Linked DNA regions of Saccharomyces cerevisiae S288C. The protein of the gene in region 1 binds, or shares a complex with, the protein of each later gene. Each region holds a gene or a part of one and is shown on either strand. Other genes may lie near its edges. The genes, in order: MCM4 and DBF4. A codon is read from its position in the direction of its gene.

Region 1 (5,284 bases):
AAGAAGAAAAGAGGAGGAAAGATTGAAAAAGGAGGAGGAAATACGTTTGAAAGAAGAAGCCAAGGAAAGAGCACAATCCCGTATTGGTAACTTCTTTAAAAAACTAAGCGATTCTAATACGCCTGTGGTTGAAAAGTCGGATTATGAAAAATTTTTTCTACCTTTCTATGCTAAAGATGGAGTTAGAGTCAGTAATAAGTGGAAACTAACAAAAGTGGAGCTGGAAGGTAGCAAAAGAAAAATAGATGATGAATTACTGAACAGTAAAGATAAAACAAGTAGTGACGACTTATTGAATTGGTTACAGTCTAGAAGATTACCTAGAGGACATAAAATTAAACGTAAAGCTGTTGACGTTCTACAGCAAATGCCTTTGAAGGAGAAAACAGACGATGAGCTCCAATCTTTACTTGCACAAGTTCCGCACAAATATATAAAATTCTACGAAAATGTTAGACCTCCGTTTATCGGAACCTATTCTATGGACTTTACTTTGCCACCAAACGATCCCTTTTCTACGAAAGGTACTGGATTCAATTATGATTACGATTCTGACGTTGAATGGGTTAATGAAGAAGAAGAAGGCGAAGTCGATAACTTAGAAAGTGGTGAAGAGGAGGAGGAGGAGGAAGATGATGAAGACGTACCTAGCGAAGGAGAGTTTGACGGGTTTCTAGACAGCGAAGAAAACAGTGATTTGGATGGCCTACCCTGCGCCAAGAGAAAATTTGTAGGCCCATTGATACCAACAATATGCCTAAAATCCAATTTTGAAAACTTATCAGAGGAAAATAAACGATACTTACAACAACTCAAGGCCGAAGTTATCATAGAAACCGACGGGCCAATCGATCCATTCAAAGAACCCAAAACATCGTCTCTACCATCCAAAAGAAGTAATTCCGACTTACAGGCACAGACCGCTAGCCAATCTCAAAGTCCCGAAAAGAAACAAAAAGCAATGATTACAGACCCCATGGACTTACTTCGACTTTTTGATGGGGTTCAAGACAGCACGTTTTCTTTGGGTACTGTGACTGAAATAGCACAGAAAAATTTGCCGCAATACAACAAACAAACAATTAAAAACACCATAAAGGAATATGCCATAAGAAGTTCTGGAAAGGGTGATTTGCCCCGCAAATGGGTAATCAAAGACGCACAAAACTGGGAGAATCTTCGAGCCAATGCAAATATGCCAACCCCGTCTTTGTAACTTGAACGGATCTTTAGTATATAGAAACATACAGATAAACTGATTATTTATTGGTATACATGAAAAAGGCGACAACACTACGATCGACAGTCAAGCCTTTTGGACTTTGAATAAAATCCAGCACTTCTCGCATGCAACAAAAGAAAATCTTCTATATAAGCTGAACTACATTTATCTGTGTCAGCCAACTGCATGTTTTATATCACTTCTTTTTGGAATATTACGAGTAGATTCATGAAAACGCAAACACTTGGTTTACTCTTTCGGGAAATTTAATGCTAGTTCGCCGCCTCGAAAATGAAAAGAGAAGAAGAGACCAGAAGAGCAACTTCGCATTGGCACTGTTTATTTCTTTAAGAACATCTTCAATACTAAATAAGACAACCCATCTTCAGTTATTTTTACTCTTGGTAGAGCCCAACTTAGGATCCTTTTGAACCTCAAGAACTTAAAATGTCTCAACAGTCTAGCTCTCCAACAAAAGAGGATAATAACTCCAGCTCCCCCGTTGTGCCTAATCCTGATTCTGTTCCACCACAGCTTTCTTCCCCAGCTCTATTTTATAGCTCCTCTTCATCACAAGGTGATATCTATGGTCGCAACAATAGCCAGAACTTAAGTCAGGGAGAGGGAAACATCAGAGCTGCTATAGGTTCTTCTCCACTAAATTTTCCATCTTCTTCCCAAAGACAAAATTCCGATGTTTTCCAATCTCAAGGCAGACAGGGCAGAATTCGTTCTTCTGCGAGCGCTTCTGGAAGGTCTAGATATCATTCTGATCTGAGAAGTGATAGAGCACTGCCTACTTCTTCCTCTTCTTTAGGCCGTAATGGTCAAAACCGTGTACACATGCGAAGAAATGATATTCATACATCTGATTTATCCTCTCCAAGAAGAATTGTGGATTTTGATACTAGATCCGGCGTGAATACTTTGGATACTTCTTCTTCTTCTGCTCCTCCATCGGAAGCCAGTGAACCCTTGAGAATAATTTGGGGTACCAACGTCAGTATCCAGGAATGTACAACTAATTTTCGTAATTTTTTGATGTCTTTCAAGTATAAATTCCGTAAAATATTGGATGAAAGGGAGGAATTCATTAACAATACTACCGACGAAGAACTATACTATATCAAGCAGCTTAATGAAATGAGAGAACTTGGTACCTCTAATTTAAACTTGGATGCTAGAAACTTACTTGCTTACAAGCAAACAGAAGACTTATACCATCAACTATTAAATTATCCTCAAGAAGTGATTTCTATCATGGATCAAACTATCAAGGACTGTATGGTTTCCTTAATAGTAGACAACAATTTGGATTACGATTTAGATGAAATAGAGACCAAGTTTTATAAAGTAAGGCCTTACAATGTAGGTTCTTGTAAAGGTATGCGCGAATTGAATCCAAATGATATTGATAAATTGATAAACTTAAAGGGTCTTGTCCTGAGATCAACTCCGGTTATCCCTGATATGAAGGTAGCGTTTTTCAAATGCAACGTCTGCGATCATACAATGGCAGTGGAAATTGATAGAGGAGTTATACAAGAGCCCGCTAGGTGTGAACGTATTGATTGTAATGAACCCAATTCCATGTCACTGATTCACAACAGGTGTTCATTCGCAGATAAACAAGTCATTAAGTTACAGGAAACTCCAGACTTTGTGCCTGATGGACAAACGCCTCACTCTATCTCATTATGTGTTTACGATGAATTAGTGGATTCTTGCAGGGCGGGCGATCGTATTGAGGTGACTGGCACGTTCAGGTCCATCCCCATTAGAGCTAATTCCAGGCAACGCGTACTAAAGTCGTTGTATAAAACATACGTCGATGTGGTCCACGTTAAAAAAGTTTCAGATAAGAGGTTAGACGTCGATACTTCTACTATTGAACAAGAATTAATGCAGAACAAGGTAGATCATAACGAGGTCGAAGAAGTAAGACAAATTACTGATCAGGATTTAGCAAAAATTCGCGAGGTTGCGGCAAGAGAAGATTTATACAGTTTATTAGCCCGCTCTATTGCCCCAAGTATTTACGAGCTAGAAGATGTCAAGAAGGGTATATTACTTCAGCTATTTGGCGGCACGAATAAAACCTTTACCAAGGGTGGCCGTTATAGAGGTGACATAAATATTTTACTTTGTGGGGATCCTTCTACTTCCAAATCGCAAATTTTGCAATACGTTCACAAAATTACTCCTCGTGGTGTGTATACTTCGGGTAAAGGTTCATCTGCCGTTGGTTTAACTGCTTATATTACAAGGGATGTCGACACAAAACAACTTGTTTTGGAAAGTGGTGCATTAGTATTGTCTGATGGAGGTGTTTGTTGTATTGACGAGTTTGATAAAATGAGTGATTCTACAAGGTCCGTCTTGCACGAAGTCATGGAACAGCAGACTATTTCAATCGCAAAAGCGGGAATTATCACAACACTTAATGCCAGAAGTTCTATTTTGGCCAGTGCTAACCCAATTGGTTCACGCTACAACCCCAATTTGCCTGTGACTGAAAATATTGATCTACCGCCCCCACTACTTTCGAGATTCGATCTGGTCTATCTTGTCCTTGATAAGGTTGATGAGAAAAATGACAGAGAACTAGCCAAACACTTAACAAATCTTTACCTGGAAGATAAGCCCGAACATATTTCTCAAGACGACGTGCTACCAGTTGAATTTTTAACGATGTATATTAGTTATGCAAAGGAGCACATACACCCAATAATCACCGAGGCCGCTAAGACTGAGCTTGTTCGTGCTTATGTAGGAATGAGAAAGATGGGTGACGATTCGAGATCCGATGAGAAGAGAATCACAGCTACCACAAGACAACTTGAAAGTATGATTCGTTTGGCTGAGGCGCACGCCAAAATGAAATTGAAAAACGTCGTAGAGCTGGAGGATGTTCAAGAAGCCGTTAGATTAATTAGATCAGCCATAAAAGATTATGCAACAGACCCTAAAACCGGTAAAATCGACATGAATTTAGTTCAAACAGGTAAATCAGTTATTCAGAGAAAACTACAGGAGGATTTGTCAAGGGAAATTATGAATGTTTTGAAGGATCAGGCATCAGACTCAATGTCATTCAATGAGCTTATAAAACAAATCAATGAACACTCTCAAGATAGAGTTGAGTCTTCTGATATCCAGGAAGCCTTGTCAAGATTGCAACAAGAGGACAAGGTCATTGTCCTTGGCGAGGGTGTAAGGAGATCAGTTCGCCTGAATAACCGTGTCTGATGCTGTCTACTACAATCATTCCCTGCGTAACAATTAATAAATACTAATTAATTATAGCAAGTTTGTATTTTTTACATCCTTATGCTTTGTAACACTATTCAATACTGTATGTAGGCTCGATTGAGTGGGCGGCTTTTTTCTTATTCCTGATTGGCTGAAAGAAAATATTGTTAAACGCACTAAATTTATCCCGAAGGATGATTACATTTAAAGACCGAAAAATGAAGATGCAAAGATCCCTCATATTTTCTACTCCAGTCCAAATCGACAAGATAAACCTGCCGATAAATCATATTTCAGAACGCTAATCAATTCATCATGCTAAGCAGGATCCAAAATTATACCAGTGGGTTGGTTTCTAAAGCAAATCTTTTGTCATCAAAGGCTTTATACTATGGTAAAGTCGGTGCCGAGATTTCAAAACAGATTTATTTAAAAGAGGGTCTTCAACCACCAACTGTTGCCCAGTTCAAATCAGTGTATTCGAACCTTTATAAGCAGAGCCTAAACTTTGCTCTAAAGCCTACAGAAGTTTTATCGTGTTTAAAAAACATCCAAAAGAATGAACTATTAAAATATGGCGCATATGGTATTCAGTTGATAGGGTTTTATTCTGTCGGTGAAATAATTGGAAGAAGAAAATTAGTGGGATATAAACATCACTAAGCTTTTTAATTCTATCTATTCGCAAAACCCTTGTATATTCGTTAATTAAATTAAATCAATGTACAAATAGAACAAAACTAGAAAAAAGAATATATATTCATCTCAATTCTATTTATTTTCTTTTCATGACATACAATGGCATTAAAA
Region 2 (4,593 bases), on another chromosome or scaffold:
TACGGCAATATAGAGAACTTACTGATCCTAAGAAAGCTATTCCCTCATTTCATATAGAACTAGAGGATGATTCAAATATTTTCACTTGGAACATAGGTGTTATGGTGCTAAATGAGGATTCCATTTATCATGGAGGGTTTTTCAAAGCTCAAATGAGATTTCCGGAAGACTTTCCCTTTTCTCCACCACAGTTTCGATTTACGCCGGCTATCTACCATCCAAACGTTTACAGGGATGGCAGGCTTTGTATTTCTATTTTACATCAAAGTGGGGATCCTATGACCGACGAACCTGATGCTGAAACGTGGTCCCCCGTGCAGACCGTGGAAAGTGTGTTGATCTCTATAGTATCTCTATTAGAGGACCCCAATATCAACTCGCCAGCAAATGTCGATGCCGCTGTTGATTACAGAAAGAACCCTGAACAATACAAGCAAAGAGTCAAAATGGAAGTGGAAAGATCGAAACAAGATATCCCTAAAGGTTTCATAATGCCCACTTCTGAATCGGCGTACATATCTCAAAGTAAACTAGATGAACCAGAATCGAATAAGGATATGGCGGATAATTTTTGGTATGATAGTGATTTGGACGACGATGAGAACGGGTCCGTCATTTTACAAGACGACGACTACGACGATGGAAACAACCATATCCCCTTTGAAGATGATGACGTTTACAACTATAACGACAACGACGACGATGACGAAAGAATCGAATTCGAAGATGATGACGATGATGACGACGATAGTATAGATAACGACAGCGTCATGGATAGGAAACAACCCCACAAGGCTGAAGATGAAAGTGAAGATGTGGAGGATGTAGAAAGAGTTTCAAAGAAAATATAAAAAAGAACAGTAAGAAAGAAGACAAAATTTAACAAAACATATTCAGCTCAAACGCAAAACATGAATCAATTTATACATACGCGATACGTTGTCGATAAAGCACTTTACATTTTTCCCTATGATAATCTGAGATTGACAGGGGAAGAAGAAAATAACTAAGTGTCGAAGAAAAATTTAGAAAAATTAATTCATCATCCCATTTTACTTCTCGCAGTACACCGTACGAAAGAAGAAGGTAAAGAATTGAGAAAAAAAGTGTATATCATTACATTACTTTACACCACCTTATAACCACAAACGTGTATATTAAGAAAGTTTTTTAAAAAGAAAGAAATAAGAAAACCAAATCCGTCCCACTAATAGTTTCTAAGTTACTGTACTTTTTTTTTTTGAATATATATCACCATACATATGTATATAAATATATATTTGTGTGTGTGTGTTTATATCTATATCTCTTTGCATCTAATTCCTCATTACCTTTTTTATTTTTATTTTCTTATCGGTTCTTGGCTAACGCCTAAGTTTCTTTTAATATTTTACCCGCAGTAAGTAAATGGTTTTTTTTTTGCAAACGCGTCTTAGGTCGATCTTTGCGAAAAAGAAAAAAATAAAGAAATAACGATAATAATAACGGTAATGGCTCAGGCCAAGAAAAACAAAAATCAAGTTGCATAGTCTATACTCAGCCAGGTGTAGATTCCTTTAGATCTGAATTCGCTTGCAGGGCTAGTTATCTTCAGAATTCAAGGTTTGAATCTGAAAGGCATTTGGAATTCTGCTTTTGGTTCATATTTAGAAAAGAAAGAAGAAAATGGTTTCTCCAACGAAAATGATAATAAGGTCTCCGTTAAAGGAAACAGATACCAACTTGAAACATAATAATGGAATTGCCGCATCAACAACAGCAGCGGGCCACTTGAATGTGTTTTCTAACGACAATAATTGCAACAATAACAATACCACTGAATCCTTTCCGAAGAAAAGATCTCTTGAGCGCCTCGAGCTCCAACAGCAGCAGCATTTGCATGAAAAGAAAAGGGCCAGAATAGAAAGGGCCAGGTCTATTGAAGGCGCTGTCCAAGTCAGCAAAGGTACGGGTCTGAAAAATGTCGAGCCAAGGGTTACGCCTAAGGAATTGCTGGAATGGCAAACAAATTGGAAAAAGATAATGAAAAGAGATTCTCGCATTTACTTTGACATTACTGATGATGTAGAGATGAATACATATAATAAGTCCAAGATGGACAAACGCAGAGATTTATTGAAAAGAGGGTTTCTTACATTGGGTGCGCAAATAACTCAATTTTTTGACACTACTGTCACAATAGTTATCACAAGAAGGTCTGTTGAGAACATATATTTACTAAAAGATACCGACATTTTATCGAGAGCTAAAAAAAACTACATGAAAGTTTGGAGTTACGAAAAGGCTGCCAGATTTCTGAAAAATCTTGATGTTGATTTGGATCATTTGAGCAAGACTAAATCTGCTTCTTTAGCTGCGCCCACATTGTCCAATCTTCTACACAATGAAAAATTATATGGACCAACGGATAGAGACCCCAGAACTAAAAGAGACGATATTCACTACTTTAAATATCCTCATGTATACCTTTATGACCTATGGCAAACTTGGGCCCCCATAATAACTTTGGAATGGAAACCTCAAGAACTAACAAACTTAGACGAACTACCTTACCCAATATTGAAAATAGGTTCATTCGGAAGATGCCCTTTTATAGGGGATAGGAATTATGACGAAAGTTCTTATAAGCGCGTAGTAAAGAGATACTCGAGAGACAAAGCAAACAAAAAATATGCACTGCAACTTCGTGCTCTATTTCAATATCATGCCGACACCTTACTGAATACGTCATCAGTTAATGATCAAACGAAAAACCTAATATTCATACCTCACACATGCAACGATTCTACCAAGAGCTTCAAAAAATGGATGCAAGAAAAGGCAAAAAATTTTGAGAAGACCGAGTTAAAGAAGACGGATGATAGCGCAGTTCAAGATGTTCGTAATGAACATGCTGACCAAACCGATGAAAAAAATAGTATATTATTAAATGAAACTGAAACCAAAGAGCCTCCGTTGAAAGAAGAAAAAGAAAATAAACAATCTATAGCAGAAGAATCGAATAAGTACCCACAGCGAAAAGAGCTGGCTGCCACACCAAAACTAAACCATCCAGTATTAGCTACTTTTGCAAGGCAAGAAACTGAAGAAGTGCCGGATGATTTGTGCACTTTGAAAACAAAGTCACGTCAGGCATTTGAAATCAAAGCAAGTGGTGCACATCAATCTAATGATGTGGCAACCTCTTTTGGCAATGGTTTGGGCCCAACAAGAGCAAGCGTCATGAGTAAGAACATGAAGTCATTAAGTAGACTAATGGTTGATAGAAAGCTGGGAGTAAAGCAGACAAATGGAAATAACAAAAATTATACAGCCACTATAGCAACTACTGCTGAAACATCAAAGGAAAATAGACACAGATTAGATTTTAATGCTTTGAAAAAAGACGAAGCCCCTTCGAAAGAGACGGGCAAAGATAGTGCTGTACACTTAGAAACTAATAGAAAGCCCCAGAATTTCCCTAAGGTAGCTACCAAATCAGTCTCCGCAGACTCCAAAGTTCATAATGACATCAAGATAACAACCACAGAATCTCCAACAGCATCGAAGAAATCAACTTCCACAAACGTCACCTTACATTTTAACGCACAGACAGCACAGACAGCACAGCCGGTGAAGAAAGAAACGGTAAAAAATTCCGGATACTGTGAAAATTGTCGTGTAAAATACGAATCTTTAGAACAACACATAGTTTCTGAGAAGCATTTGTCTTTCGCTGAAAACGATTTAAATTTTGAGGCTATTGACTCGTTAATTGAAAATCTCAGATTTCAAATATAGGGACACGACGTAAAGTGCAGTAGCTTTTAGTGATAAAATCAAAATAGTATTGTTCCGTTTCCATTGCTGCTCGGAACAAAAAAGCTATCAACGGCAATGTTATTGAATCACTTTCTCATTCACCCTTGTTACTTTCTTGCTATTGACTTAACTCTTATTTACTCGTCCATATATTATCAATTGCATATATATACATATACATATATATATTATCATCTAGATTAATTACCGTTCATATCATAACTCATTCTGAACAAATAATGATCGAGTACCCACCGCGGTTAATGTCCCAGTTTTCATTTTTACCCGATATCCTGCAGAGACCGAGAGGCATGAAAAAAAAAAAGCTAGTTCTCAACTGCATTAATTGCAGCTCGTATTCATGGTTCAACATAAAAGAACTTACGCTACAGCATTCCATTTGAATAACTCAGAGTATTAGTAAAAGAAATGTGTGAAGAGAATGTTCATGTTAGTGAAGATGTTGCTGGCAGTCACGGTTCTTTTACGAATGCCAGACCTAGGTTAATTGTACTAATAAGGCATGGGGAAAGCGAATCAAATAAAAACAAGGAGGTCAATGGTTATATTCCTAACCATCTGATTTCTTTAACGAAAACAGGTCAAATCCAAGCTAGACAAGCTGGTATTGACTTATTACGTGTTTTAAACGTAGACGATCACAACTTGGTGGAGGATTTGGCTAAGAAGTATATTAAAGATGAAAGTAGCAGGAGAACTTTACCGCTGAAGGACTATACCAGGCTGAGTAGAGAAAAAGACACAAACATAGTTTTTTATACATCACCCTAT

Evidence for each region.
Region 2: the proteins of MCM4 (region 1) and DBF4 are in contact, whole or in part, in a cryo-EM structure (PDB 7PT6), measured with the Saccharomyces cerevisiae proteins. Residues at the interface, in NP_015344.1 of Saccharomyces cerevisiae: Leu177 (codon at 2,198), Arg178 (codon at 2,201), Ile179 (codon at 2,204), Ile180 (codon at 2,207), Trp181 (codon at 2,210), Asn184 (codon at 2,219), Ser186 (codon at 2,225), Ile187 (codon at 2,228), Gln188 (codon at 2,231), Thr192 (codon at 2,243), Arg195 (codon at 2,252), Asn196 (codon at 2,255), Met199 (codon at 2,264), Ser200 (codon at 2,267), Lys202 (codon at 2,273), Lys204 (codon at 2,279), Phe205 (codon at 2,282), Glu222 (codon at 2,333), Leu224 (codon at 2,339), Glu267 (codon at 2,468), Ser270 (codon at 2,477), Ile271 (codon at 2,480), Gln274 (codon at 2,489), Lys277 (codon at 2,498), Asp278 (codon at 2,501), Val281 (codon at 2,510), Ser282 (codon at 2,513), Val285 (codon at 2,522), Asp286 (codon at 2,525), Glu297 (codon at 2,558); in NP_010337.3 of Saccharomyces cerevisiae: Asp248 (codon at 2,407), Arg249 (codon at 2,410), Asp250 (codon at 2,413), Thr253 (codon at 2,422), Lys254 (codon at 2,425), Arg255 (codon at 2,428), Asp256 (codon at 2,431), Pro514 (codon at 3,205), Thr515 (codon at 3,208), Arg516 (codon at 3,211), Ala517 (codon at 3,214), Ser518 (codon at 3,217), Val519 (codon at 3,220), Met520 (codon at 3,223), Ser521 (codon at 3,226), Lys522 (codon at 3,229), Asn523 (codon at 3,232), Met524 (codon at 3,235), Leu527 (codon at 3,244), Arg529 (codon at 3,250), Leu530 (codon at 3,253), Met531 (codon at 3,256), Val532 (codon at 3,259), Asp533 (codon at 3,262), Arg534 (codon at 3,265), Leu536 (codon at 3,271), Gly537 (codon at 3,274), Val538 (codon at 3,277), Tyr660 (codon at 3,643), Cys664 (codon at 3,655).

Annotation. Positions count from the first base shown.
Region 1 is NC_001148.4:595,081-600,364, forward strand, and holds MCM4 (MCM DNA helicase complex subunit MCM4), read left to right. Parts: upstream 1-1,669; coding exon 1,670-4,471; downstream 4,472-5,284. Other genes in the region: RLF2 (Rlf2p), read left to right, coding at 1-1,216; ATP20 (F1F0 ATP synthase subunit g), read left to right, coding at 4,790-5,137. UniProt on the Saccharomyces cerevisiae protein: Acts as a component of the MCM2-7 complex (MCM complex) which is the putative replicative helicase essential for 'once per cell cycle' DNA replication initiation and elongation in eukaryotic cells.
Region 2 is NC_001136.10:557,698-562,290, reverse strand, and holds DBF4 (protein serine/threonine kinase activating protein DBF4), read left to right. Parts: upstream 1-1,665; coding exon 1,666-3,780; downstream 3,781-4,593. Other genes in the region: SCF E2 ubiquitin-protein ligase catalytic subunit CDC34, read left to right, coding at 1-851; acid phosphatase DET1, read left to right, coding at 4,231-4,593. UniProt on the Saccharomyces cerevisiae protein: Regulatory subunit of the CDC7-DBF4 kinase, also called DBF4-dependent kinase (DDK), which is involved in cell cycle regulation of premitotic and premeiotic chromosome replication and in chromosome segregation.